4 linked regions of the Caenorhabditis elegans genome follow. The protein of the gene in region 4 interacts with the protein of the main gene of each other region in a biochemical or structural test. Each region holds a gene or a part of one and is shown on either strand. Other genes may lie near its edges. The genes, in order: ubc-13, ubc-22, let-70 and rbx-1.

Region 1 (8,857 bases), on a different chromosome or scaffold from region 4:
TTCAAAACTAATTTCATTAAATCCTGCCAATCTAATTTTTTTCTTTGAAAAAAATTATTTATTCGCGGCCGCGCAGAAGAAAACTCGGCCACCAACTTTTCGAGAACCCTCATATCAGCAAAAAAGAATACAATGTTTTTAGAAAAAAAACTCACAACTTTTCTTCGACTGAAAAAAAACTGTTAAACTAACCTCAATGTTCCGATATTAGTTTTGCGATGACGTGGCATTAAATATAATAAAAATGTGGAATTTGTTAAAAACTAAAAATTTCACGTAAATAGAACCGAGTTTATCAAGAAAGTTCACGAATATGTTCTGTTGAAAAACTTAGTTTTAACCGTAAAAATTCCAGGTTTTTATCAAGATGTGCCTATTAATAGAATATATTGTGTTCCCAACGCGAACTGTGCAAATTTTCAGACTACAGTACCCCTCTACAGTAGTAGTTTTGAATTCGAAATCGCTTTTTCTTCTTTTTAGTGTTTTCAAATCGAATTTTCTTGTAATTCTTGGATTTTTTGGTTCTGGAAATTCTGGAAAACCCCCTGAAAATGGTACAAAACCTATAATACAAGAAGAAAGTATTTTGATCGATGCACCATGACCCGATCTCCACGGGAACCGCCAAATCGACTTTAAAATCCCTTCCACGCGAGACCTGAATTTCGTTCTGGACCAAGAAAAGATTTTTTAAAAAATCTGATTTTCAAACATTTTTATTTTAAATTTTGCGAACCTGTAAAAAGTGAAGTTTTATGCAAATTTTCATGTTTCCCGCGATCTTTAATGCTAATTTTAGTTGGAAAATACGATTTTCTAACTATTTTTGAGGTTTTCTCAATGGAAAATATCGTTTTTCACTGCGAATCAGCCCGAATAAATTACAAAATTAATTCCAAAAGTCAACGTTAACGCTGACGTCCACATCGAGAAACGCGCCAAGGAGAGTGCTGACGCGCCCGCGGTGCGCGCAAACACGTCAGCTTATTTTCTCGAATTGCGTTCGCTTTTTCTCTATTTTCTCTCCGTTTTTTCCGCTTTCTTTTGTCTTTTTATTCTATTTTTCTGCATAATTTGTTGGTTTTTTTTTTCAGTTTTCCCGCTATTTACACTCTCAGAGCCCTGAAAACCCCGTAATAATCCCTGTTTTTTCCAGCAGATGAGCCGACTCGTCCTTCTCATCTCCCTGGTGATTGTCGTCGCCTCGGCTGCTGCTCCACAATGTGAAGGTTTGTAAATTTGAGAAAGCTTAATTACTTAATTATCTAATAAAAAATCGCGAAATTTTCAGTCTGCAAAAAGGTTCTGGACGATGTGATGGCAAAAGTGCCGGCCGGCGACAAATCCAAGCCAGATGCCATCGGAAAAGTGATCAGAGAGCATTGTGAGACCACTCGCAACAAGGAGAACAAATTTGTAGGGGATTTAAAGATTTAAATGATTTAATCTAATTTTCCTTTAAAATTTTTAATTTTTATCCATTTTCAGTGCTTCTACATCGGCGCACTCCCAGAATCGGCCACTTCCATCATGAACGAGGTCACCAAGCCGCTCAGTTGGTCGATGCCAACGGAAAAAGTCTGTTTGGAGAAGCTCAAGGGCAAGGATGCTCAGATTTGTGAGCTTAAATACGGTTCGTTTGGCGCATAATCTCGCTTTTAATCAAAAAAAAAAAATAAATAAATCCCCAAATTTCACAGACAAGCCACTCGACTGGAAGACGATCGATTTGAAGAAAATGCGCGTGAAAGAGCTGAAAAACATTCTCGGCGAGTGGGGAGAGGTGTGCAAGGGATGCACCGAGAAGGCCGAGCTCATCAAGCGCATCGAGGAGCTTAAGCCGAAATATGTCAAAGAAGAGCTGTGATTTTTTTTTCATGCCGTTCTACATGTGATAATCGTGTTTTTAGCGTGTGTGTTTTTATTGCAATTTTACTTGTTGAAATCTATTTTTTATTAATAATAATTTATTTATTGATTTCCCCCCCCCCCCTTAATTTTTTCGTGTTTCATCATCATCTTCCTCCCACTGGTCTGGTCAAATGAAGCTTTTTTCCCTGATTTTCCCTCAGTTTGCCAATTTTTCGGTTCTAATCCGGTTTTTAATAATTTATTTTACCTTTTTTCTAGGTTTTCCAGGAAATAAATCAGTTTAAAAATGTGATTTTCGAAGATTTACGGTCGAAAACTGGCATTTTTAGGCTGAAAATATCGATTTTCACCTTAAAAACCTCCAAAAACCAATTTTATCGATTTCGAAACGTTATTATTGATGGAAAATACGTAAAAATGGAAAATAATACCCATTTTCAGCTTTTTCAACGCCGAAAAATCAATTTTCGGCGATATTTTCTACTAAAATTACCGAAAAATGTGATTTTTCCGCAAAAATATGCGATTTCATAACAGTTTTCGTTGGGAAATGCACAGAAATCCAATTTTTCTAAAAATTTCGCAAAGGAATTGATTTTTTACTTAAATTACCGTTAAATTTATACATTTTTAGTATAAAAATTAAGATTTCGCGTGGATAACGAGAATTTACAGCGTTTTTTTGCTGAAAATATCGATTTTCTCGAATTTAGCGTTTTCAAAATGCTCAAAACGTCGAAAATTCAGTTTTTGGCATTATTTTTGATGGAAAATACGTCAAAAATGCCAATTTTCACTCTGAAATGCACATAAATCCTATTTTTTCGAAATTTCACTGTTGAATTGATTTTTTCACTCAAACTACCGGTGAATTTACATATTTTCAGATGAAAAACTGAAAGCTCCCGTAGAAAACGCGTCTTTTTCAACATTTTGGTGCTGAAAATATCGATTTTCCGCAAAAATAACGAATTCGTAATGCCAAAAACGTCAAAAATACACATTTTTGCGTTTATTTTTGATTAAAATTACTCCAAAATGTCAGTTTTCTGCAAAAATATGCGATTTCATCACTGTTTTCCATGGAAACTGCACAAAAATCCAATTTTGCCATTATTTTGCACCGAAATCGATTTTTTTCTCCAAAAAAATTATTCGAAATCGTGAAAAGCGAGCGTTTTTTAATGTTGGAAATCACAAAAAACCCAATTTTATCGATTTTTGGCCGACGTTTACGTTGAAAACTCGAGGAAAACAGTTTTTTAATTGAAAAATTCATAGTTTCCCGCAGAAAATTAGATATTTTAACTTTTTGTACTAAAAAAAATGGCATTTTTCCGATATTTCGAGAAAAACTTCGATTTTTAATTAAAAAACCTTGAATTATTAGTCTTTTTTCTTTTATTTCAGCCAAAATTTATACATTTATACATTTTTTTCTTCAGTTTTCACCATTTTGCACTCAAAAATCCGTCTAATTGTTGAATTTTTAACAGAAAAACAGTTTTTCGCTGGGAAAAGCTCTAAAATCACTCAAAAACCATCAAATTTATTCCACTTTTCCATGGAAACTGCACAAAAATCCAATTTTGCTATTATTTTGCACCAAAATCGATTTTTTTTTCCAAAAAAATTATTCCAAATCGCTAAAAACGAGCATTTTTTTGGTTGGAAATGCCAAAAACACAATTTTATCGATTTTTGGCCGATGTTTACGTTGAAAATTCGAGGAAAACAGTTTTTTAAAGTAAAAATTCATAGTTTCCCCTAGGAAATTAGATATTTTAACTTTTTTTTTGCGGAAAATGGCCCTTTTCCGATATTTCGAGAAAAAACTTTGATTTTTAATTAAAAAACCTTGAATTATTAGTCTTTTTTCTTTTATTTCAGCCAAAATTTATACATTTATATATATTTTTTTATTCAGTTTTCACCATTTTGCACTCAAAAATCCGTTTTTCTAATAGAAAAATCAGCTTAAAAGCCCCAAAACACACAATAAAATTTCTTGCAGAATGGCCGGGCAACTTCCGCGTCGAATCATCAAAGAGACACAACGACTTCTCGCGGATCCGGTTCCCGGAATATCGGCAAATCCAGACGAGAGCAACGCCAGATACTTCCATGTCATGATAGCCGGGCCAGACGATTCTCCATTTGCTGGTGGTGTCTTCAAGTTGGAGCTTTTCCTTCCGGAAGAGTATCCGATGGCTGCACCGAAAGTTCGATTCATGACAAAGATCTATCATCCGAATATTGATAAACTCGGCAGAATTTGTCTCGATATTCTCAAGGGTGAATAGATTTTCCCCTTTTTTTGAAAAATTAGTGAAAAAATTTTTTAAAAAACGGTTTTTAGCGTTTTAATCAATTATTTTTAGAGAATTTTCTGAATTTTCATCGAAATTTGCTATTTTTACACTGTTTTAACACAAATTTATTGATAAAATTCAGAAATCTAGCTTTTTTGGATATTTTTACTTGAAATTTTTCGAAAAACAGCCCATTTTCAACAATATTCACGAGTTTAGATGAATTTTTTGTATTTTTTAATATTTAAATCAAATTTAGCTCTTTTTGAGCGTATAAATCCGAATTTCATGCTCATTTTTCGCATAATGAGAAAATAATCCAAAAAATATGAATTTTTACGCATTTTAATGGGAAAAATGGATCAAAAACAGCTTATTTTGAGCGTTTTTTGACAAAATAGACGAAATTTCGAGAAAAATCGTGTTTTTTTTTGTTCTAATAAATATATTTAGGTGCATTCGAATGCGAATTTCTCGAAATTTAATTTTAAAAAACCCTCTTTTTGTGAAATTTTTTTCAAAGAAACTGCGAAAATGTATCATTTTTGCGCATTTTTAACCAAATTTCATCGAAAATCTCGGAAAACGGCGTTTTTTTGGCAATTTTTATTCAAAATTGCGAAAATTTCGGCGAACCCCCAGTTTTCGAGGGACATTTTCAATTTATGATCGAAATTAGCTATTTTTAATCATTCTAAAGCGAATTTCTTGTTAAAATTGCTGAAAAATCTGATTTTTTAGTAATTTCAATGGAGAGATAGTAAAATTCGATTTTTAATTACAAATTTCGTGTAATTTCTTCGAAAACTTCTTTATTTTTGCGCATTTTTTCCAATTTTTATCGAAAAATTACTCCAAAAGAAAGCATTTCGATAGATATATCTCATTTTTTGCGCATTTTAATCAAATTATCCATAGAAAAGTTCAATTTTTCGGCTATTTTAATGCGAATTATCTCGAAAAACTGCTCATTTTGAGCTTTTTCACATGAATTTCTCGAAAAAAAATGCCCAATTTTTCAGATAAATGGTCGCCGGCTCTTCAAATTCGCACGGTTCTTCTGTCGATTCAGGCTCTTCTTTCGGCTCCAAATCCGGAAGATCCACTGGCAACTGATGTCGCCGAGCAATGGAAAACGAATGAGGCCGAGGCGATTAAGACTGCAAAACAATGGACGATGAACTATGCTCGTCAGTAATATATCTAGGGTCTCGCCACGAAATCGATGAAAATTTGCAATTCTTTTGAAGCCAAAATCGAAAATTCGACCTCATGTCGATTTACGCCGATCGTGTACTCCCCGAGGAGAAGTTGGAATGATTTTTATACAGTTTTTGACCTTTTTAACATTAAAACTATCAAAAAATGGCTCGTAAATCCGATTTCCAGCCGAAAACTGCTTTTACGCCACTAAAAATATCGATTTTCACGGAAAACACTGTAATTTACGGCTAAATTTGCTATATTTAAGTAAAATTTCAGGAAAAGTCGACGAAAACGGCGAAAAACAATACTTTTAGCGCAATTATGGAGCCAAAATCGAAAAATCGAACTAAAAATCCCTGAAATTGGCGCATGTCGATTTACGTCAACTCGTGTACTCCCCGAGGAGAAGTGGGGGTGAAAAAAACGGGTTTTAAGGTGAAAATTATTGATTTTGGCCTATTTTTTCTAATTTGAACGTTTAAATCATCAATTTTTGCTCGGAATTATAGCTTTTTTGATAAATTTTTATTTTCGAATTTTTTTTAGTTTTTCAACCTTTAAAAAATCGAAAATAAAAATTTATCAGAAACACTATAATTTAGACCTAAATTGGTGATTTAAAGATTCAAATCAGGAAAAAATAGGCCAACATCAACAATTTTCGCCTCAAAATCCATGTGCTTCACCCCTCTTCTCCGCGGGGAGTACACGAGCTGCGTAAATCGACATGTGCCAATTTCGGAGGTTTCTAGTTCGATTTTTCGATTTTTGCTCCAAAATTGCGCTAAAATGATTGATTTTGGACCGTTTTCGCATCGACTTTTCCACAAATTTTACATAACTATAACAACTTTAGCGCTAAATTCCAGTTTTTCAGTGAAAATCGAAGTATTTAGTGTCTTAAAAGCAGTTTTCAGCTGGAAATTGAATTTATGAGCCATTTTTTTGGTAGTTTTAATGTTAAAAAACTGTATAAAAATCATTCCCACTTCTCCTCGAGGAGTACACGGGCTGCGTAAATCGACCCTTCGAATTTTCGATTTCGGCTCTGAAAACAGTAGATTTTCCTAGTTTTCGCTGTGGGACCCAACAATAAATATGCATTTTAATAAATTTTTTTTAACAATTTAAAAAATAAATTAATAATTTTTTTTCAGAAGCCTGATCGTCTCCGAAGCTCGCCTCTAGAACAACTACAAAAAATCACATCAAACAAAAAAAAATTCGAAATTCTCTCAGCCTGCTCTTTGTCCCGCCTTTTCCCGCCCCCTTACGAACTTCCAATAAATTGTATGAATTGCATAAAAATCTCGATTTTCCCCATCTTCTACTATATATCTAAATATTGATTTTTTTTGTCCCCGCCCGGTTTTTTGTCTCGAAATTCTACAATTTCCTCCCCATCCCATTGAATTTTTTAAAAAATTTTTTTGTCTCTGTTGTCTCACGATCCTCATCAAACCGTCGTCGTCCATTTAATTTAAATTCTTCTTTTTTTCTCCCAGTTTCCAGAAAATCTTCTTCCATCGAAATTGATTTTTTTTTCTCTTTTGGAAATTTTGATGATTTTTTGAATAAAGTCGTTATTTTTTTTGAGAATTTTTGAGAAATTTTTGAAGGCATTTCCAGCAGTAGCCTGATGGTTTTCAACCGGAAAAAATGCAAGAATAAATAGAAGAATAAATAGTAGATATTGTGATAGAAATTTTAAAAACTGGAAACTGCCTGAATCGCCGATTGCCGAAAGTGAGAAATGCCGAAAAAATGCACGCTGATATTACTGTAAATTTAAAGGGACACACAGTATCTTGTTGCATGGGTTTCATCGCGATGTGTTCAACTGTAGCTTTTTGATTTTTCTTTCGATTTTTCGAATTTTAACTGTGTTTTTTCATGTTTTTCTTGCGAAATTTGAAGCAATTACCGATAAAAAATTTTTAATTCAGATTTCTGCAAACATGGACTCGAAGCCACTCACCTATCTATCCATGCAGTGCATTATCAAACACTTGGAGGCGAATAAAAGGTGAGACAAACAGTTTCTGTAATTAACTAAATACATAATTCTCAGATTCCGACTGGCCGCACAATGCCCATCTCTTGTAAAGATCGAAAAATCGCAACCTCTGATTATCAAGAAGCTGGAATTCAATCGTAGTACAATCTCTGTCAATGGAGTGAAATACAAACTTGGTGCTAGGAACAATGTATGAATTTTTGCCATTCTAGACGAGGGTGTCGGTTTTAAGTATTTTACTAAATTCTTTTGAAAATAAAAACGAAAAATTCGTTTTTTTTTCTCAAATCGAAAATTTTTCGCCATTTTAAATCTAATAATGATAACTTTTTGGTTTTTTTCTCACTAAAATCGATAACTATTCTAGAGAACGGATATTTCAATGAATACATTTTCAGTTCGAAGCCCCACACACTCTGACGAGAGCGCAACTCAATGGACGACATCCGCAGATCCATGTTAAATGGTTGAATCTTCCAGATGAAGACTGTGTACCTGAGCTGCCGGAATCCTTCAAGAAGTTCATGGTTCAATATGTACGGAATTGGTCGTCGCTTACCGATCGATTAATCGATCCAAAGAGCACGCCATTGCTCATTTATCTCTCTGGAGGTCACAATTTGGATTTGCTGGATGTGATTAATCGACACGAAATCTTGAGAACTTGCGATGGATTGATGCTTTATATTGTTCCTCGTGAGCTCTTCCATGACATCGGAGCACTACCCAACTCTTTGATCGAATTTACTATTGAAGGTGTTGAAGTTTTCGATTTCCTCATTTTGATTGACGCTTTGCTCCACCCAGACCGTGAAATTGAAACAGAGCGTATCTTCATCACTGAAGATGCCGATTTGGTCGCGAATTTATTCAAAGCATTCACTTTACTGGCAGAAGGAAACGATCTTGCGATGTTTCAATATGAATTGTGTGGAATATTTGGAGATGAGTGCGATGAATTCCCACAAATTTTCATTCTGGATCAACGATACGGTCACTATACGGATACGGTAACTGCTGCTGTCACTCCTCTTCTTCCCTTGTTTTTACCCTTTTGAGGCCCTGATTGGGGGTTTTCCATGTCAGCTAATCTTGCCTTCTTGTACATTTCTCCATCACCATGCTGCCAACCATAAACACTGACCATTCCCGCGTAGACCCATGTCTCGTCACAAGATCCAATATAGTACTTCTTCACATCTAATTCTTCTTTAATTTTCAGATAAATATTTCTGTTCTTCACAATATCTAGCCTTTCGTCAACGATGGTGTTGTGATTCTTCTTTCTGTACACAAATCCCAAACCACGCATCACAAATCTCAAACTTGTAGATCCTCTGTTCCACTGAATATTCGATTCTGCCCAACTCTGCAAGGATTCAATAACCACGTCTTTCCCATCACACCAGAGCCCATGGATGTACTTTGTGAGCTGAAGCCGTTTCAC
Region 2 (7,433 bases), on a different chromosome or scaffold from region 4:
TACCTATTCGTTTCAAGTTTTGATCAGAACAAAAATGAGTTGTATTTGGAGAGTTTAAAAGGGCATCTTCAAAAAGTACATGAGAAGAAATCAACCAGAATGACTGTATTAAAAAAACAAACCCTACAGTTACTGGGGTCATGAAATCTGAAAAGAGCCTGTTTGTGCAGAATTCTCTATTTTCATAGTGAGCAAATAACGCTAAAAAAATAACAGTACTATTTGGGTAAGTTTGACCATTAAGCCACTTAATCAAACACTAATAGTTTGAAAATGATTGGCTATGCATCAAAATTAGTATTAGGTAGTAGGCTGTCAACTGTCAGATGGCTCGTAGGGACAAGTTGTTCCAAAAACATGATCCCAGGTTTTTCGAACATACTAAAACGTTATTTTTTCATTAGTTACAGTAGACTTACGTTAAAAATTTTTCAGTATTTTTAATCAGAAAGCATATCAATAAAATATCAGTATAAATTATTTAACCTGAACCGAAAATGTTTATTTTAAAAATAAGTTTGCGTATGTTTTATGATTTGAAAAAATAAATATAAAGAAAATGGTGAATAAGAAAGAAAGACATATTTATAGAAGATCCAATTGAGAAGACGATTGTTGGTTCCTGGTTACAATTTGTCGGCACAGCATGCTTTCCTGATTTCAACGAAAGTACATTGGTTTCCACAGCACAGCTTAGAGAGATCCTGTTCCGTACCTAAAAATATTTATCGATTTTGATTTTAGGAACAAACGATACTTACCCGGTTCACATGGCCCGTTGCACGCTGATAGCACATCAGTGTAGAGTTTTCTTCCACAGCGGTAGATTTTTTCGGTTTCCAAGGTTCTTCTCGCCCGATTTCCATGGTGATGGTGGTGGTGATGATGATACTGACGGTGGAGGATTTCTTCGCTCCATTGAGACAAATCAAATGGATTTAAGAATCCATTTTCGTTGTTTCCAGATACTTGAGAAAGGTGTGCCATTTGAAGTCCAATGACAAGAAAGACAATCAAAGTGACGATCATCGTTTCACTCCTCGAATTATTTGAGCCAGGATATTGTAACTATCAGAATTCACACTTTTATAGTAACAACATTTGGGGCGGGACATTTTTTTGAAATTTCAAATGTTTTCTGTATTCGTTAAAAATAGCAATTTTTCTCATCGAGAGACTACAAGTCAGAAAGATTCAATGTATAATGTAATCGTGGGGTTTAAGAGATTTTGACTAAATAATTGTAACTTTTTTTCAAAAAATGAACTTTTTAACTTTGCACTTTAAAAAACAACATGTTACGTGTGAGTGTTACATCAGAGAAGTAACAAAGTGGATAAAAGTGCATAGAAAAAAAAGACTTTTCAAAACAAAATCACCAACTTAATGATGAGGCGTTTAAATGCAAAGGGCTTTATCAGTTAAAAGAAAGTTATTGGTAATAAGGGTAGTGAATCTGGGAATTTTAATGTCAAATAGTAAGCACGGGAATCAGTGACCACGTTTAACTCCTGAAGATCAGAGCTGTGCGGTAAATGAATTTTTGGCACTCGACAATTACCAGAGTTGGCAAGTGCAAAAGTTTGGTCAGCTTCAGCTGTCGCCAAAAATGAAAGTTCGAAAACTGTTCGGCAAACTGCAATCCGGAACTTTAGGATGCTTATATTATATTAGAGTGTTTTTTTTTTGGGAAAACATAGTTATTTTTGCATACAGTGCATCTAGCAAGCGGTAATATCTTATTTAATAGCCCTATTCTGGCACTTTTCGAATCTGTCGAGATTGTTAATTTAAAGTCTCATACTGTATCTAGACTCTAAAACTGATAAATCAGCAAAAACTTCAATTATGATTTCAAAATTCACTTCACTTAAAAAATGTATTCAGCGATTAGTATTTTTCGATATATAGATTTTTATTCAGCAATTGTTTTACCTGATTTAATTAATGAGAAAACGTCTTCGCGTAAGTTGTTTTACTTCATTAGTAAGATTAGAATTCATCGACGTAATTTATCACTCAGAATTCAGAACAAGCACATAAGCAAATAAAGTACTACGACAAAACTCAACATAATTACCAGCACACATTTGGCCTTTGAGCTACAACTGTTTGAATGGAGTATTTAAAAAATTATTGACAATATACAATAAACATCAATAAAATATTGAATATGGTATAAAAAAGACAAATTGGTACAAAACGTTTATTCTTGTGCCTGCTCGTCGCCTTCCAAAAGTTGTTCAGCTGCATCTGCTAGATTCCAGTCACTACCACCCAGAGCAAGAATTGATTCCAGCTAAAAACAGTATTTAAATAATGTGTTGGTCATTCCATGCATGAGCTCAAATTACTTATAAAAATTAAAAAAAATTAAACATTGTTTGATTTCTTACTCTAGAAAATCCCATTTCAATCAGAGAATCGACTTTTTTCTTCTGCCAGTCATCGTCTGGGAGCGGGCGTCCTCCAGCAAATTCTGTTGTCCAAAATCTTGCAGTTTTCTGAAAATTCGAAATATTAACAATTTACATAAGTTGTGAATGTGTTGATGTTCAGTATGTGGGCTTCAAATTCTCAACTTTTTTCAAAAATTTAGACATGAGATGCCAAATATTTTGATGTCACGTTACTTTTTCATTTCGACAAATAATTGATTGGAAAATCAGGAATGTTGTGTGCTTTAATTGCACAGACTTTTTTTTAAATTAAAATTGAAAGGTGCCCAGTTGAAAAATATACTGAGGAATCAAATGTCGAATAGATTAAACTATGGAAGAAAAAATTTCAATAAATTTCTGCAGCCTTCAAATATCATGTAAAATCCTGGAAACCTAACACTATTTGCAAATCTAAAAACCATCTAAAGTGAAACAGTTTTAATAGTCAAATGCTTAAGTTTTTAGAAAGAAAATGCCACGTTGTTTACATTTAAAACTAACATAGAACATGACCTCCTCGTCTACCTCGATTGATCGAAATAAATCTTCAATATAAGACAGTGCCTCCGAAACATTGAGTCTTAAAAGAAATAAAGAACAAAAATTGCAGTTAATAAAATGACAGCGTACCGTGAGTAATTTTCGATGTGAACTTGCCCAGTGCTTGGCTCTACCGCACAGTTCCAAATGAGAGTTTGGAACTTGATCTGGAATAAAAATGAAAGGGGTATACATATTTGTAATTTGACATACTTGTGGGAGCGCATTAGGATAGTTGTCTGGGAATGTGAGGTCCACCTCAAATACACCTGTCTCATAAGGAGTGTCAGCGGGTCCAGCGATGTGAAACTGACAATGGAAACAAAGTTGGATATTATTTAAGTTTTTCACATCTTTTAAAACTTAAAAAAAAAAACTGATTTAGTGATTCACATTTAAATACTTTAAAAAGCGAGTTCTCATAGTTTTCTGTCGAATATACCGTTATTTTTTTATCCTCTTCGTTCACCATCTCTATAATGTACAATTGTTGAGCAATTTCCATATCGTCAAGAAACCTTTTTTGGTTTTCATTCATTGCTCGATGTTTTTGTTGCCACAATTCTGAAAATATCACTGTCGCTCAAGATATTTTCTGTCATTGCATTCGAATCAACTGGATATGTGCACAAAAACCGACAAAAGTTTTGAATTAATGAGGGTATCGATGTGAAAACAAAAATAGTTGGAGTGGCAAACAAGAGAAAAAAAAAGAAAACTAGCCCTTTTTTTTCATCTTTCGTCTCTTCCCACTCTTTCCACAGAATTCTTGGTGTCGCGTGTGCAAGATAAAAAAGACTTGAATTTGGCGGGTGAAATGACTAATAGTAAGAGGGGAAAAAGAAAGAAGGAGATGTAAGGAAAAAAGAAGAATGTGCACCAAGATATGGGCAACGACACTCCGCCTCCAATGCACGTGTTATAGTAGAATGCAAATGAGCTTTTTTTCGTCCTTTTTTGAGTTTAAGTGGACCTTGAAAAACACTATGTACGATTAAGTGCCAATGAGATTTTTTATTACATTTTTCAAATATGAGCGTATCGAAATTGAATAAAATGCAATTTTCAGATAAAATGTCAAATCTCGCATTGGCACGGGTCACACGGAAGTGTAAAGAGGTGGCAAATGCTTCTGATATCACGGAAGCGGGAATTCATGTCGAAATAAAGGAGAACAATTTAATGGATATCAAAGTAAGAGAAACAGAACCCGAAAAGCACACATTTTAAGCATAAAATAAGTTTTAGGCGTGGCGCCCAATGTCATTCACTATAATCAATAAGTTTCGCTGTTGCGCAAACAGGTGTCTTTTTATTCATGGACCTTTGGAAAGAGGGGGCCCATTGTGAGAGAGGAAAAGCGCGAGACACTCAGACATAGAAAGAAGAATACATGGATTAATGTGGCGCGCGATAGTAGTGAGCAATCAGATTTATAAAGGCCATGATCCTGAGACATTTAGCACTGTGACATTTTGAAAAAAAATAATAAGTGGTATTTGAAATACATCATTTTTAATAAAAATTACCCATTAGAAGTAAATGAGCAGTGCATTCAATGCCAAATTTGTTGATTGTGTATTTGGAAAAAATTAAACGGGTGTTACCTATTCGTAAATATTAAAATTTGTGCACACTTTGTCTTCAAACTGAAAACTTTCAACTAAAAAAAAGTGGTACTTCACAGGAAAAAAAGAATTTAACAAGTTTTTACAACACTTTTGTCCCAAAAATGAAAATAAAAATCTTTTGAGCCTGTCGCCAACTGAACAATTCATAATTTTTAAAACTTGATTTCTTTTCTGAAAAGTGTCACTTGAAACTAGGTATATATAGTGCAGCTGTTTTTATCATTCTGAAGTTATAAAAGTAACATGTTTTCCATTTGAAAAATTTTAAGTGTTTCGTTATTTTTTGGTGATATTGGCGAACTTTTTAGCTGTAAAGAAATTTGCGGAGCCAGTCTTGGTTGTGACTTCTGCTTGCCAAATACTTCTAGAAAAGTTTTTGATTTATCAACTCCTGACCGAACCTCAGAAGAACTACCGTGTATGTGAATAAAACATGTGTAGATTACATACTACTAAAAAGTTTCAATTTAATATGTCCTAAAACGAACGGCATCAAAAACGTTTTTTTCCAGTTTTTATGAAAATATCATTGATGACTTTGCTTCAAAATGTACCCGTTGTTTTATTTAAAAATACATATCACTCCAGACTATGGCCAAATTTTTATTGAATTGCGTCTATCAACTATTCAGAAAATCGTCTAATTAAACATATCTGTATTTACACCAAAACACCATTACTTCAGGGATTCATCAAGGGTCCAGAGGGCACACCTTACGCCGGAGGTACTTTTGAAATAAAAGTCGATATTCCTGAACATTATCCGTTTGAGCCGCCAAAGGTTACCGAAATTATATTTCACATTCGCGCATTTGAGTATATACAGGCAAAATTTGTTACACGAATCTGGCATCCAAACATCAGCTCACAAACTGGAACCATTTGTTTGGACATACTCAAGGATAAATGGTTGGTTTTTACATGTTTCTAGTTAACAAATGGGTTTAAGGACTGCAAGTCTTACACTTCGGACAGTTCTTCTATCACTTCAGGCCATGCTCTGTTCTCCTGAACCATCGGACCCTCAAGATGCAGTGGTTGCCAAACAGTTTATCAATAATTATCCAATGTTTACGGTAGAAATTTTTTTTAATAGAAAATGTTTTTTGAGCTTTGATACAGACATACATAATCTGTAAAGCAAACCGAAATTTGTCACATACACTGATATTCGTTGAACTGGAATAACGGAGTTAACTTTTTAATAACGATATGTAGTTTTTTTAAAAAGTTAGAAAATAATATACTACATACGTCAATGTAAATGGAGTTGAAAAATTAATTTCGAGGTTTCAGATGCAAAATTAAAAGTGAGTTGCTAAAAAAATGCATCCAAGAATCTGGAAAAAACTCATGATTTCAAAATTTCGTTTCAGGCGACCGCTGTCTACTGGACTTCTTACTTCGCAAACTCTAAGAAAGATGTTGAACCTGATTTCAATAGAAAAGTCGGGCGTCTCATAGAGATGGGAATCAGAGAGGTAAAATTTTCAAATGACAAATTTTCTAGGAAGCTTAAGTTTGTAATTTTTAGACTGAAGCAATTGTCTACCTCAGCTGCAACAATTGGAAACTTGAGCAAGCTCTTCAATTTATTTTTGACTAGGAACCACCACATTTTTTGTCCAGATTCATTAAAGAGGTAATAGAATTTGTGGGTATTTTGCTCAATTTTACTAAACCTGTCTCAAAACGATTATATTTCATAAAGAGACTACTTCTCACAGAATTTTCCGAATTTATTTTTTTGTCAAAATTTCGAAATAAATGAGCCAAATTTTGCTAAAATCAAAAATTTCGCCAACTGTTCTCTGTCGTAGCAGCTGGAATATAGTTTTATGAAATTTTCGCCCTCTAATACCTATGTTGGTAGTTTATCTCGCGTGAAATCGTTGTCTGAGACACATTTTAAGACGATTGTTATCCATTTTTTGATCGTTTTTGGATGTTTATTGGTATAAAATGAGAGCGAAATTTCAGATTTTAGCAAAACGTGGCTCATTTGTTACAAAAATTTGAACCGCCATAAAAATGTTTGGAATTTTTTTTAGAAGTGTCAGTATGAATTTTGGCCGTTGTGGGCCTGTTTTAGACGATTTAAGCAAAATACTCACAAACTCTTCTCGCTTTTTAAATCCGTATACACTCTTTCTTATGCTTTTGTTTTTTATGGAAACGTTATTTTTTGCTAGAAAGAAGTTGTTTAACAATTATTCGAGAATCACCACTTTTCTTTTTTTTATGCAGCAATTTTCATCCGGTTTCATTTTTTCATGATCGTAAGTTTTCTATCACCCCGGGTGAACCTTTTATTTAGATCTTTTAGTCAATTTTTTCTGGCTTAAATGCACATTTCCTAGCGCGTCATTCACCGCTTTTCTCTTTGAACTTTTCTTCAAGTCTACGACGTATAAAAAATATTACTTTTTGTTTAGTTTTTAACAGCAGCAGCGGACGGATATCTAGCTTCGCGATGCAAAACTATACTCCTCGTATTTATTGTATGCGTCTATATTTCGTACAACAGAAGACCACAATACAATTTTTTTAAAAATTAAATCCAAATTATTTTGTTGGTAATTTGTTGCCAGTAAATGATGAAAATCAAGGTTTTCTGTAACTGAAAAAATATTGAATTTGGTTAAATCCAATTTTAAACGAAAAAGTAATTATTATGTTTAATTGTTTTTACAGTTTCTGAAATAAGTTATCAATTTACAGTTTTATTTTCCAATAGTTGTCGACAACACGGAAACGAAAACATAAAAAAAAAGAAAATGAGCAAAATATTGCTCATTGATGATTTGAGATCATTTACGGT
Region 3 (6,829 bases), on a different chromosome or scaffold from region 4:
ATCCAGCTGAAATAAATTGTTTCAAAATTCAAAATAGACTCAAATTCAGAAATAACACAAAATAAAACGAAAAAAATGCATTGAGTTTGAAAAAATACAGTTGATTTTGGAGAATGTTCAATTTTTGTAAACCTCATTATTTGAATTTCCGCGTTTTTGTCTTGAAACTCCGCCCATTTTTCCGTGCCGCGTTTCGATTTTTTCAATTCCGGATTATTATTTGTATTTTTCCGTTTTTCTTGAAAGTTTGAAGTTCAAGAGAAACAATTTGGAATGCATGAAAACATTCAGTTTATTCTTAAAATACATAAATTTACCAAGAAACAAACATTCTCACAAAAGAATTCAACAAATGTGAAGATATTCATTTTTTGTGTAAAAAAAAGATGTGTTCGTTTAATACAAAAGCTTCTTTTACCTGAAGGTTTTGCATGAAAATTTTTTCTTATTGGGTACGGTAAAATTGGCGGATTTCGAGACAAAAGCACGAAAATTCAAATAACTATTTAGCCAAAATTGAAAATTCGCCAAAATCAAATGGCTTTTTTTGGTAATTTATCAATGCATTAAATTAATTTAATGCATTTTTTTTCGTTTTTCTGTTGTGGCTATTCGGAACGTAGGACTATCTTAGATTTTTAATGAACAAAATCCCAAATTTTAAGAAATTACCAACTTTAAGAAATTACCTGAACTCTTTGTCGAAAGTATGAATCACATGGTTTGCAGACAAATGCGAACTTTTTAAGACAAGAAGTCTCATGGGAAACCAAGTCTGCAGGCCGAGAAAAAGATGCTCCACACTCATCACAAACCTGAAAGTGTTTAAATATTTTTTGAAAAAAAAACCTGTAACTAACATTTGAGTATTTTCTACATTGCATATGATGTTTCCGTAAACCATCACTTCCTGCTTCTATTACTTCTTGGCATTGTTTACATTTGTGAAGTTCGTGATATGTCTGTAAAGTAGGTATTTTAAACTTGTTTCATCCGTGTTGAATAGAAGGTACCTGTCGATGAATTCTCATTTCATAAGTAGTCTTGAATAATTGCCCACATTTGTCACACGCTGTCCAGTCAACTTCTACTCCAGGAGCATTCGAATGCTTTCGAGAGACGTGGCGAGTTAAATGTGATTTTTGTACGAACTTCTCTTCACAAAATGTACATGAATAATTTCTGACATTAAGATGTGTCATTTGATGACGCTGAAGATGAGAAAGACGTGGAAATACCTGAAATTATTGGATATTTTATTGGATAACTTTTAATGAAGAATTATTTCCATACTTTATCACACATACTACATTTCAGTGGATCTGAAGCGCTTCTGTCATTCTTCGATTTCACAACATTTTTATGCATTCGTAATTCATGTTTTGTTAGATATCTGAAATTCATCATAGAAGATTAAAATATATTTTCAGGCTTTTCTTACCGTTTTAAATCAAACGTTTTCCCGCAGTCTTGACATTTGTGTCGTGCCATTGCCGGCTCAAATTAGATAAATTATTGAAAATACATCTTATTTATAAAACGAGATAAATCATTTAGTGCTTTCATGCTAACTTTCAGTAGAAGGTTTTAATAGAATTTACCCAAAATTTATTGATACAAGTATTATTAAAATTTGGAGGCAAAATAGAATCACGAGAATGAAAAATTGTGTCAGAGTACAGTCAATGCACAGTCAATTATACAGAAAAGGTAAAAATTTGAGGCGACCAATTCAGAAATCTTCATCATCCTCAAAATCGATATCAATAGCATTAACAGAGTTCTGAAGCTCGTCGAGCCCGGTGACTTCTTCGAGACGACCTGGCGAGTTCATAACGTCGCGAACAAACTTCCAGCCATTTTGCTGAAACTGTGCAGCGATAGCGTCTCCACAAGCAACACATTGATCGAATCGTTTTACAGAAGGAAGAATCTAAAATAAAATTAACGAAGTTAAAGCAAATAGAACACAATTATTATACCTGCTGGAATCTTCCCAGAAAACCGCGAATTTGATGTGGAGCAGCTCCAAGGACTGTTGTATTATCGTCGTGGCTGGCTGGTGTCTTGAGTGGATCAGGGTATTGTAAAACAGACGATAAGAGTTCAACGGCAATTCCAGATGCAATCATAGATGTTCCTGGTCGTGCAACCTGAAAGAAAGCATCCGTTTTGAAATAGAGGTGTGGAAGTTCAAAAACTCACAGTGCACTGTTGGTCCAATGTTCTATCGAAAGTAGAATTTCCTGGAGCAGTTACATCACTGCAGAAATAGCAAGAAAGCTGAGAGTATGGTACGGAATCTGATGATGAAACATCTGAAACACTTTCGCTTCTAGAACCAATTCCATGCCGAATGATGACGTAGGTATCGAATCCAATCGCGACACTAATTGCAATCTTCTTATGTCTACTAGCCAAAACTGTTGGAAGCCAGCGAGCTTCCCTTGAATCTAATGCTAGGAAAACAACATCATGATCTTTCACAAGTTGCTCCAATTTTGCAATATCTTTTTCCAGCTCTGGTACATCTTTTTCATCGATAGAATGTCCAGGCATTGGAACAGTGAGACGATGAGCAGTTGCTTGAATCGATGGGAAAATGCGTTGGATAGCAGCTTGTGCTGTTTCGGCTTTTCCACGACCCAGGCGTGCATCTTCAAATTCTGAGAGACTCTGGCGAACGGGGTTATTGTAGCTGACAGTTGAATTATCAAGAAACGAAATGTGACGAACTCCCCATCCGATAAGACAACGGGCAATGTTACATCCAAGCGTTCCAGCACCAAGAATGAGAACCTGGAATATGACAAAATATAAAATTTAAAATTTAAATATATACCTTCAGCTGTGAGTATCTTTCCAATTGAATATCTGGGTGCAATCTCCATTTGATTAATGATAAATTAAGATCCACAGATCTTTCCATTAATATTTTTGGATCGAACTCTTTACTTAAGTCTACTGAAATCGGCTGCAACTTATCATTTGCATTTCTTTCCCATCCCACAGCTTTTGGAACAGCATTCTGAGCTCCATCTGCTGAGCATTCAGCACTCGGCAAGGTCCATGTGTATTTTATTCCGATACTGTCAGCTGAACGAAGACTGATGATATGACAATGCTTCCACGTAGGATGAAGATGTGCCACTGCGGCAAGAACGTTGCGAACCATCCATCCTGCAGAATACGCAACAGGAGAAGGATCAGCGACAACAACACATATTTCGTCAGGATTTGTGTTGTTTTCCAATTCTGACAGTTCGAGCATTTTTGAAGATTGTTTGGAGTATAGGAAGATCGGAAAATTGTTTTTCCTATAAAAGTCGAACAGGATCTTGTGATCGGCTCCGAGAGATGATAGTGGTGTGATCTGAAACCGAAGAATTTACGAACTTCAAAGACTTTTAAAGATTTTTCAACCTCTTGTTTTATTTCACTAGGATATACCAAAGCAGGAACACATGTCCAATAATAATATTTGAATTTTTTCAAATCAGCAAAAGCGATGATGAAGAATTGCGACAGAAGACGAGGATTTTGGAGCCATTTTCGAGTTGTGATAGATTCCCAGATCTGAAATTGCTGACGATTTTGATTAACTATACGAAAGTTATTCTACCTTTTCTGCTTCACTTCTTATCAAATCACTTTTGTCAACCATCTTGAAACTTTCAATTGTATTGTACAGAAGAAGGGTACCGGACATTGACAATCCAGTTGTGCTCTCCAAACTGCTCAAACTGTCGTAACTTAAGGATAGATGACATTTAAAACCTTCGGTTTGATCTGTAATTTAAATTAAAAATCATCTGATACGGATATAGGCAATTCTTACGAAGCGATAATTGACTTGAGATACACTTTGGCGTCTCATCGAGTTTCCAATCATTGAGCTTTTTCTTGTTCACTTCGTTCCAAAAACCTGTATCAAGACAAGTAACAAAGGGAACAAACGTGGCCATCGATTCTGAAAGAAAAACAATGTCGAGAATAATAGACGCTCTTCAGTAATTTATTCAGGATTCTCAGACCGCCAGATGAAATAAACGAAGAACGAATGTGTGGTGGTTTGGAAGAAATCCTTTTTCAATTTCTCGAGAAAAATCAGAGGAAGGGAGGAGGGAGATTTGGAGACAAAATAGTTTAAAGGGGATGAGAGAGAATTGAGGGGATCAATCTACACCGTTCGATTTACTTTTGAATTATAAGGAAGAAATATAAAAGACCATATATATTTTACATCGCTTTGCTGACGACAGAAAATAATATGAAAGTGGGTATTTTTTGAAGGAGAATAATGTGTGGGGGAGAACAAAATCGATAAAAAGAGAACACAATTTATAGTACAAAAGAGGAATCGCCGGGGTTTGGTGTGGATTGAATAAGATGGAAAGGGTTTGGAGATGAATGGGAGACACAGAGAGGGAAAAGAAACACATGGTTTATTGATTGGTTTGGCTGCGTTCTTGTATGAATGGTGTTAGCCTCCTCACATAGCGTACTTTTGCGTCCATTCTCTCGCCAATTGATTGTACCTGAAAATCGATTATTTTTAGTAGTTAAAAGAAAATCTAAATTCACCTTTCACGATCCGTCTTGTAGATGCGTGCAATCTCTGGCACAAGTGGATCATCCGGATTTGGATCACAGAGCAGCGAGCAGATCGAAAGCAGAACTGAAAATTAAAAGTTAGAACGCGAACAATAATGATAATATCAACCTTTCGAAATGGTCAGAGCCGGCGACCACTGCGAACGGAGAATGTCAAGGCAGATGCTTCCGTTTGAATTGATGTTCGGATGATAAATTCGAGTGGTGAAGGCAACCTGAAGAAAACAAATTAAATTTATTTTTTTCCAATTTCGATCAATACCTTTGGTGGTTTGAATGGATAGTCTGTTGGGAAGTGGATAGTGAGGAAGAAGACACCTCCCTGATAGGGAGACTCTGGTGGGCCCATAATCGTAGCTTGCCAATGGAACAAATCATCACCAACTGGTCCAGCGGAGCATTGTGCGGGTGGATCACGGCCGAGATCTTGGAGTTCCTGAAACGTACATAATAATTTTATTGTTGTTAAGTGTTGAAACCTTACCTTCTGGATTCTTTTGAGAGCCATGTTGGTGTTCTGATTTGCTGATTGACCCGGCTACACCCGGAGTACTCTGAAAATAAATTTCGATAAATACGGTGAAATTGAGCTTCTGCTATAGGGAAAAATTGAAAGTGAGGATTTTCGCATGAAATAACATAAAGAGTACGGCGCGGCGCGGCGAAAAATCGATATTTAGAGGCGGTACAAAGTACTCAGTTTGCCCTTCGTGGTGAACTGTTACGTCACATTTCGAAACTAGTGGAACATTCTAGAAAGCGAAAAATGAGGAAAAATAGAACAGATATAAATTTGAAAACCAAAATAACATAAATTTCGGAAATTTCCTAATAAAATAACTAACGATGAGAAATGATGACAAATATGACACATTTTTACGGCTACAAGCCAGTGACACTCGAAAAAAATTTTAACGCTTAAAAGAAATGGACTGGAATATTACGCACAAAAAGCAAGCGATTCAAATCTTGTAAAATTTTCTTCACAATGAATCGAGACTGGGCAAAAATTAAAATTCAAGACGTATCACAAATTGTCTGGTTAGTTTTTTAAAAAACTATTCGGCATGTACGTATTATTTTCTGATTGAAACAAATGATTTCCAGATAATCACTCTGAAATCGACTAAAGACACGCGACTTGTCGCCTCACGAGATGGTGAGGAAGGAAGAAATGGCCATAGGCTGCGAGTGAGTGAGAATGTGTGCTGTCTGTGAGTGAAAATGAGCGACGGGGTGAGCGCTGAAGTGTCAGAACGACAGAGACAGAAATAACACAGGAAACGTAAGAGGGTACGAGGCAACGATCGATACGCAGCGCCATGGGTCTTGAGACGACCATCACACTCACTGCAATGCTGCAGTCGCATCGCAATGGGGATTGAAAGCGGAGAGAAGTGAAACTATAAGCACTTAGACACGAAACGCAGAGAGGTAGAGATATCTAATGACAAAGCGAGAGAGTGAGAGAAGCAGTTGATCATGTGATTCCACTGATTCAATTCAGTGTGGACGTGAGTGAACTTGCACTTTTCTGATGGTTACTAGATGACTGAAATTTGAACGCGGAATTTATAAAATTTTAGGACGAATGAACTTGAGTGTGTTTTCTTATTTCGTGCTATATGAGTCACGTGGGACAACGAAAACAAAGAGGTATAAAATAGGCCAAATCATACTTCGGAAGTGACTTTAATTTTGAGAAATAAGTTTTGCAAAAATGTTGTTCAAATTATTGATCGAGCACTAAATTCCCTAATCACTACTCACATGTGGAGTTGAAGTTATTTTTAAAATACGAATTCAGCGAGGAAAACCTTTAAAAAATTGGAAACAAGTACAACAGAACGAACTACAGAAGTTGGAGCAGGAAGAAAAATAAGGAACATCGCAAACGAACTGAAAAGAAACTGAAGAAATTAGAAGAAAATGAGTAAGAATGATGGACCGCCCTTGTTTCACAATCTGTATTTTGCCGCGTTCGAAATGGCGCCAAGAGATATGGAAAGCTCTTCCAATCAAAAAATATTTTTAAATGGCATACTGCTTGTCTATCCCATATTACGTTGAAGGTATTAATAAAAACAACAAAAATTTTTTAGAAAACATTAAAATAATCGAAAATTCACATTAAATTACGAGAAATTGTTGTGCAAACTTGAAAACAGTTGTTCGAAAACCCGCCGATTGTCAGGCTGCTGGATCTCGTGCTACC
Region 4 (6,607 bases):
AAACATGGCAACTTTCCAGTTTTGTCAAACTTATTTTGCAAATATATGGGGAGTAAAACAGTACAATACAGATTGATTTTGATAGTATTTAAGATATACATTTTTTTAAGATTTAAAAGTTCAATTCTTATTGTAAGATTGAATAAGATTCAAGTTTTTTTCTTTACAAAATAACTTTGGTGACTTACAATTCTATGCCCCATGTTTCCCGCGCTGATAAGTTCAGGAACTCCATCCACGTCGGCCAAACGTCTCCAGTAGATAGTGTCTCCGAGGATCGGACAAGACATCTGAGTTAGCATCAGTCGTGGGAGATGACGAGCAACTGAAGAAATATAATATTCAATACAAAAATAATATGTATTCAAACATTTGTTATCTAAAAACCCAGCGTCGTCGTACTTTTTAATTTGAAATTAAATATACCAAGATGATTTTTTTCGGAAGATTTTTGGTTAATTTACATTTATTTACTGAAAAGTCGATCAATGAAATTCCATTTTTTGTGTCCAGTACTCGATAGCTCATATGTCCTTCTACAGCGTATTTTCCAGTTTTTGCCCGTTTCGTTGTTTTTCTTTCTTCGAAAATGTACTCTTTGTGCTTTCCGACATTCCGAAACGTGGCAAATCCAGTTATGACTCCACTGCTCTTTTCAGGTCTTCCAATTGTGATTGCTCTGAACTTTAAAATAATAAATACTAAAATTAAACTTTAGAAATTGATAAAACTTACAAGGCATTATACATAAAAGGGGGTTCGACATTTGAAGAAGTGCTTCTGATACATTCTTTCAGAATATTGGAATCCTTTTCATTACATGGAAGAACAATTGCACCAGATAAGTATCGTTTTAAGCCTGTACAGAAACTGAGCTGAGGCTCACGGAGCAACTTTCTCAAATCTTTGATACAATCGGAAATTGTTACTCCCATTTGTTCTTGAGTCCTTGCTTTGATTGTACCAGCCCATTTTTCAGTTTTTCTCTCATCTCGAACACTATTCCCAAATACTCCACCATTTTCTTGAAGTTGTCCAACACATGACAATCCATATGGCTTTTCCAACACTACAAATCGACCTGGAGCGTGAGCCAAAACCTTTTTCGATAGGTATCGAGCCAGCTGATTGGGATTTGAAAACGTGGCAGGAGTCAGAGCTTTCTGAACTTTTGGATTTAGTGGAGCCGGTGCAGACTCCAAAGAAGTTGAAGACGCTGTATTACTTGTGAATCGACATGTCGATATTCGTCGCAGTGTGTTCATTTTTCTCTGAAAAATCTTGATTATTTTTTAATTATCAAAATAAAATATAAACCGAGTCTGTAAAATTATAAGACGAAAGGTTTCAGATAAGCTTTAGAATTTTTTACCAAATTAATTATCAGAAAGCGAGAAATTCTTGCTAGGAAAAAATGGTATCTTAATTTTACAAGATTTTGGCATACTTTCTTAAAGGCGCATGGATTGATTTGGACTGGTCTCGATGCGCAAAAAAGTTTATGGTAGCTTCGGCTGCTTTATCGTTTATTTCCCTTACATTTTCCAATGGAAGTACTCTGTTTAAAGCGAATTTCGTGTTTAAAAAAAATGCATATTCCTTAAGAATTGGTTTTAAATAAGTTTTCTAAACAAAAATTTCAACAAAAAAGAGACTGCCATGCATGGTCATGGTATTTGTACCATCAACTTTTTATCTCAAAATTAATTATTTTTCACAAAAATCTGACTCATATCTGTTCTCTCACGTTTTCATTTTTCCAACAGTTTTTCCCACTTTTCTTCCGCCCATCCCGCTCCTTTTTCTTTTTTTCCTATCGCCACAAAAACACACACACACACACAGCAGAGAGAAAGAGATAGGAAGAAGACGAGTCGTCGCATTTTTGTCCTCTCTCTTTCCCTTTCTCTCTCCGTTTCAATGTAGCGCGAACCGAGCGATGAGAAGAAGAAAAAAGAAGAAAGAGGAGAAGAAAGGAAGGAGAAAGGAGGAAGAGACTGGCCATTGCCCGCCCGGCCTTCTTCTCCTCCTCACACACACAAAACCACCCCCTTCTCTCCATTTTCCTTCCTTCTTCTTCTCACCATTCTTTTCCTTTTTCCACGCGTCTTCAGTTGATTTCGAACACATTTTGTTAACCGTTCGCTTCTAAATCTATATTACTAAATTTGCAGAATATATTTATTACATTCAAAAAATGAACCGACTACTGGGATGTCTAGATTGCGTTCAAACTGAGGCCTACAACACACTGGAAGATCTCGAAGCACACATTGCTAGTGATCATCTTAACATATGCCCATATGAGTAAGTCTTTAACTTTTAATATGTGGTGAACGTAGCTTTACTATTTTAGATGCGAAAAATGTAAGTACGCTAAGTTTCCAACGGAATTCGCCCTTGTCAGTCACTGTATGAATGATCATGGACTCACCGAATTTTCTGTAAGTCTCCAATGTTGAGAGACGCAGAAAAAAAATTCAACAATAATTTAAATTGCAGATAAAATATCGCTACACACCGGAGTTGAGTATGAAAAAGAAGGAACTGACCCAAAAGCTCGAACGGTGCATTGCAATGAGTCGATCTATGCGGATTGAAGGGAAAATCAGCGATGCGGTGTCAAGCACAGTGGAGAACAGAGTCAAAGTCGAAAACTCAGAAGCAACTGGCACACCTATTCAGTCATCTTCTCCTGTTGTCTTCGTAGATAATGCTTATCATGCCTTTCTAGGTAAACTTACACATAATAATGATTCCCACTCATTTGGATTTAATTCAGACGAAACTCTGGCACGTCACGAAGAAGAACGTGGAGCCGGTCCTTCATTCGAGGGAGCATCTGATGGCGGTGGTCCGATCAAGCCGAAGCAACAAATTCAATGTTCTCTTTGTGGAGACGTTGTTTCCAAACAAAGATCAAGCATGGTGTATCATGCAAATACGCGTCACGGAAAATATGAGCTCTACGAGTGCGGAATCTGTCACAGAAAATGGCAGACAATTGCAAAATCTGATGTGATCAAGCACATAAAAAGCCATCACGAGAGACCCGACGGAACCATCGACTGCGACATGGTTATTGACTATCGAAAAAATCTAGGAAACAAGCTGAAAGAAATTACTGAAAAATGTTTTCCGGAGCGAAAGAAAAAGAGAATTGGATACACGGATTTGCCAGAATAAATATCTTGAAACGATTTAAAAGTTGTTTTCTCATCGTCCCAATTGTTAGAATTACTGTTAAAATACTAACTGATACGGTTTATTTTTGTTAAATACAATTTTTCTTTTTAACCTGTTCTTCTTTGTTCGTTTCGGCAAGAAATAAGACGCGACGAGTAAATTTTAAAAAGAAAGCGAAAGCGTGAAGACAGAAAATAGGTGAGTACGGTGTACGCAAATGCGCGTAGCGTCTGGTGTGTGCAGACAAGCGTTTTTGATGATTCTTTCGAAAGAATTTCGGCAGTGTTGCTCAGTCTGATTTCATTTTATTTATTTTACAACAGCGTATCTCCTTTTTCAATACATATTAGCAATAATGTCAAGTCCTTCATGTTTCCTCATTTTCTATCGGCGGCTTTGTACAACAATGTTGTATTAGGTTCGTGAATCACTTGTTCTAGGGTACAATTTTTCATAAAATCTGATACAACAATTTTATCAATCATATCCTCTATTTAGTTTAGGCTTATAGTATTATAGTATGCATAAACATGTTCAATATTAAGTATTTCATTATATCATCAATGCTACTTTTGCGCTCTTATTTTGAAATGATTACTGTTATTCTCATTTGTATTTTTTCCAGAAATGGCCCAAGCAAGCGACAGCACAGCTATGGAGGTCGAGGAGGCCACAAATCAGACAGTTAAGAAGCGTTTCGAGGTAACACAGATACAATGTTACATGCTTTAACAAACATAGTGCAATTTAAGGTCAAGAAATGGAGTGCCGTCGCACTTTGGGCCTGGGACATTCAGGTCGACAACTGCGCTATTTGCCGCAATCACATCATGGATCTGTGCATCGAGTGCCAAGCGAATCAAGCAGCCGGGCTCAAGGATGAGTGTACCGTTGCATGGGGAAACTGTAATCACGCTTTCCACTTCCATTGCATTTCTCGTTGGCTGAAGACACGACAGGTAGGTTGCTTTTAAACGTGCTTATTTTTGAAAAAATGATATTTATTCAAATGTCAAAGCGGAACAGAAGCCTGCCGCATGCATTTTTGTTAAACAACTTTTGAAAATTTAATTTTTTTCAATTACTAAGTACTCGTAACTAGCATTTCAAAAAGCTTACACATTTTCTAATTCTATCTTTTCAGGTATGCCCATTGGACAATCGTGAGTGGGAATTCCAAAAGTACGGACACTAATCGATCTTCATTCTTCTGCCAACCGCCCGGGCAGTTTCTTCACACTTTTTTACTTGTATTCACTGATTTTTCTTCTATTTCCTTTTGTGAATATGTATTCGTCCCAAAAAAAAGCACATTAAAATCCAGACGTGTTAGTCTCTATGTGATCTGACACTTTTCATTTGTTTATTCAAATCTCCAATCCCTTCTGACCTTCTAAAATCATCCTTCCTCGCTTGAATATTTAATTTTTCTCCGCTAAAAATATAAATATGAACTGTGTCCTCTGGTCTCATAATTCTCAACGAGACAATTCTCGTGCCGTTTATGTGCTTAGGCTGTTTAGGTTCAGGTTGCGGGCACCGTTCAAGCCGCCGGAGCAAAAGGAGGAGGTCTCGTCTCGCGTAATTTATTTGCAATTCGGCTAAAACGTTCAAAACCGAATTGCAGCACATTTCTCGCCGCTTCTTCGTATTCCTTTCCGTAATAATTGATTATTACGATTGCTTGTTCGTTTCTGTGCCAAAGTTTTTTTTAAATTTTGGATACTGATTTTTGTAGAGTTCTCTCATTAATATAGACCAAGATAATTTTCTGCTTTTAAAACTGTCTACAAACGTTTATTGTTCAATAATCGACGTTGCTAAATTGCGGATATTCTTAACTTCATGAAAAGTGAAGTATCACTTTAAAGGCGCACACTACTTCTCTTGGCTGGGTCCTGCCACGATTTCAGATACAGTAGTTCCTCCGAATGCCAAATTGCACAAAATTGTTCATACATATTTAGAAGTGTTGAAGTTCACAAAGTAGGGCAAAACTCAATGAAAATTATACACATCGGTTTATTTTTTTTAATATAACTGCCACTCGAAAATTTAATTCCCAATACTTCTAGACTGTTTTTTTTTCATTCTGAAGTAACTTAAAACGTTTCTTTAAAAACGAGGTATATTCAGGCCGCTATTGGGCTTTGGGCTTACTTAAACTATATAGTTTATAATCACCTGATATCTCACCGCGATCACACCGTAACCTACCGTACTCTCCAACTTAGCTACATATTTATATATTTTCTGTTATCATCGAAGTGATCAGATCAAACACCAATAGGTCAAAATTTACACCACGGGGATCAGTTACTGTCTGCGAGAAGATTTAATTGGTTTTGCGAGTTGTAACTCGAGATTCTCATGTCGGAACAAGCAAACCGACTCCCCTACCCAATACAGTGTATGTTTGTTGAACGTGTTCCTCGATCCACTCCCCGATTTGGAAATCCCATTTTTTATATCCGAACCGTCCGAATCTGTATTGTAGTGTGGGAATGTAAGACACAAGGCAGCAGTAGAAAACAAGAGTTTGAGAGAAAAAAGAATAGGTGGAGCTGCAGGTAGACCCGATTTTTATTGAACAACTTTTTGATGGAATCCGCTGAATTTCAATTGAAGCCACTTATCCATTCGTTTTTGTTGCAAAATCTCAGTTTCTTTTTTATTTTCTTTCATTTCCAGGAAGCCAAATTCGATCTGGCAATGATTCAAAGATGATTCTAGTCCTTGGATTTCAATTTTTAGTGAACATTGCTCACTCCTTACAGGTTGGTAAAATATCCTTATTATTTAAAAATCTATTATATCTGCAAAATCGCATATCAAATATCAATTGAGGTGAAATGGAAGATATAAATATTTTCACATTTATGATACTGGATGATTAAAATACCCAACGCTGATCAGCTTGTTAAAACTCGGTGCTCGAATTCTAAAGTTTTTGTCTAAATAGTTAAATCATAAACTTTTGTTGTTGCTATTACTTTCACGCCTCTTGTGAGTCTCTCAATTTTAAAGGAAATTGTTACTTATAAATCGACACAGGCTCTCCTCTTTTGTCTTTAAACATGAGTGAGGCTTGAAGCCTGCTTTTATGACTTTCAAATTTTCAGAGCGCATTGTTTTTTTTAATCACTAACGAAACAACCGGATAAATTCGTTTCAAAACAATTTATTAGGTTTTTAGATTACAAGTTTCAGTTTGTGGCAGATATGTGTTAAAATGTTCGTGTTTCATTCTGCAGAATAGTTTTAAAATTATATCTGCCCAAGAATTTGGTAGTTAAAATAAGAAGTTTCAAGATGAGTTTTAAATTATGAAACATACTGATAAAACAATTATTGCTCTTAGTTCTTTAAATTTTATTTAACCGAAATATTTTTCCGATTGACAAACCCGTCACAACTTCCG

What was found.
Region 1: of the proteins of rbx-1 (region 4) and ubc-13, one has a biochemical effect on the other in vitro, tested with the Caenorhabditis elegans proteins (one study listed by BioGRID).
Region 2: of the proteins of rbx-1 (region 4) and ubc-22, one has a biochemical effect on the other in vitro, tested with the Caenorhabditis elegans proteins (one study listed by BioGRID).
Region 3: of the proteins of rbx-1 (region 4) and let-70, one has a biochemical effect on the other in vitro, tested with the Caenorhabditis elegans proteins (one study listed by BioGRID).

The regions. Positions count from the first base shown.
Region 1 is NC_003282.8:2,920,724-2,929,580, reverse strand, and holds ubc-13 (Ubiquitin-conjugating enzyme E2 13), read left to right. Parts: upstream 1-3,889; 5' UTR 3,890-3,890; coding exon 3,891-4,170; intron 4,171-5,209; coding exon 5,210-5,377; intron 5,378-6,550; coding exon 6,551-6,558; 3' UTR 6,559-6,990; downstream 6,991-8,857. Other genes in the region: manf-1 (Mesencephalic astrocyte-derived neurotrophic factor homolog), read left to right, coding at 1,163-1,232, 1,295-1,419, 1,492-1,636, 1,704-1,870; fbxc-45 (F-box C protein), read left to right, coding at 7,352-7,419, 7,465-7,600, 7,809-8,420.
Region 2 is NC_003284.9:8,865,612-8,873,044, forward strand, and holds ubc-22 (UBiquitin Conjugating enzyme), read right to left. Parts: upstream 3,552-7,433; 5' UTR 3,520-3,551; coding exon 3,424-3,519; intron 3,291-3,423; coding exon 3,195-3,290; intron 3,149-3,194; coding exon 3,072-3,148; intron 3,022-3,071; coding exon 2,943-3,021; intron 2,505-2,942; coding exon 2,397-2,504; intron 2,300-2,396; coding exon 2,207-2,299; 3' UTR 1,992-2,206; downstream 1-1,991. Other genes in the region: ins-9 (INSulin related), read right to left, coding at 627-715, 762-1,029; ubc-21 (Ubiquitin-conjugating enzyme E2 21), read left to right, coding at 4,014-4,175, 5,298-5,393, 5,439-5,521, 5,562-5,688, 5,989-6,093, 6,147-6,218.
Region 3 is NC_003282.8:11,077,086-11,083,914, forward strand, and holds let-70 (Ubiquitin-conjugating enzyme E2 2), read right to left. Parts: upstream 5,169-6,829; 5' UTR 5,123-5,168; coding exon 5,099-5,122; intron 5,051-5,098; coding exon 4,877-5,050; intron 4,830-4,876; coding exon 4,724-4,829; intron 4,679-4,723; coding exon 4,585-4,678; intron 4,539-4,584; coding exon 4,493-4,538; 3' UTR 4,001-4,492; downstream 1-4,000. Other genes in the region: Y5F2A.4 (C2H2-type domain-containing protein), read right to left, coding at 1-6, 690-815, 861-962, 1,014-1,238, 1,294-1,393, 1,442-1,491; atg-7 (Ubiquitin-like modifier-activating enzyme ATG7), read right to left, coding at 1,733-1,933, 1,983-2,153, 2,206-2,799, 2,843-3,373, 3,424-3,576, 3,623-3,789, 3,839-3,965; klc-1 (Kinesin light chain), read left to right, coding at 6,650-6,686. UniProt on the Caenorhabditis elegans protein: Catalyzes the covalent attachment of ubiquitin to other proteins. Mediates the selective degradation of short-lived and abnormal proteins. Plays a role in the DNA damage response.
Region 4 is NC_003283.11:9,687,727-9,694,333, reverse strand, and holds rbx-1 (RING-box protein 1), read left to right. Parts: upstream 1-3,811; 5' UTR 3,812-3,813; coding exon 3,814-3,888; intron 3,889-3,938; coding exon 3,939-4,145; intron 4,146-4,330; coding exon 4,331-4,381; 3' UTR 4,382-4,648; downstream 4,649-6,607. Other genes in the region: ZK287.7 (RNA_ligase domain-containing protein), read right to left, coding at 189-325, 465-679, 736-1,265; ztf-9 (C2H2-type domain-containing protein), read left to right, coding at 2,198-2,307, 2,357-2,444, 2,503-2,734, 2,783-3,186. UniProt on the Caenorhabditis elegans protein: Component of the SCF (SKP1-CUL1-F-box protein) E3 ubiquitin ligase complex, which mediates the ubiquitination and subsequent proteasomal degradation of target proteins.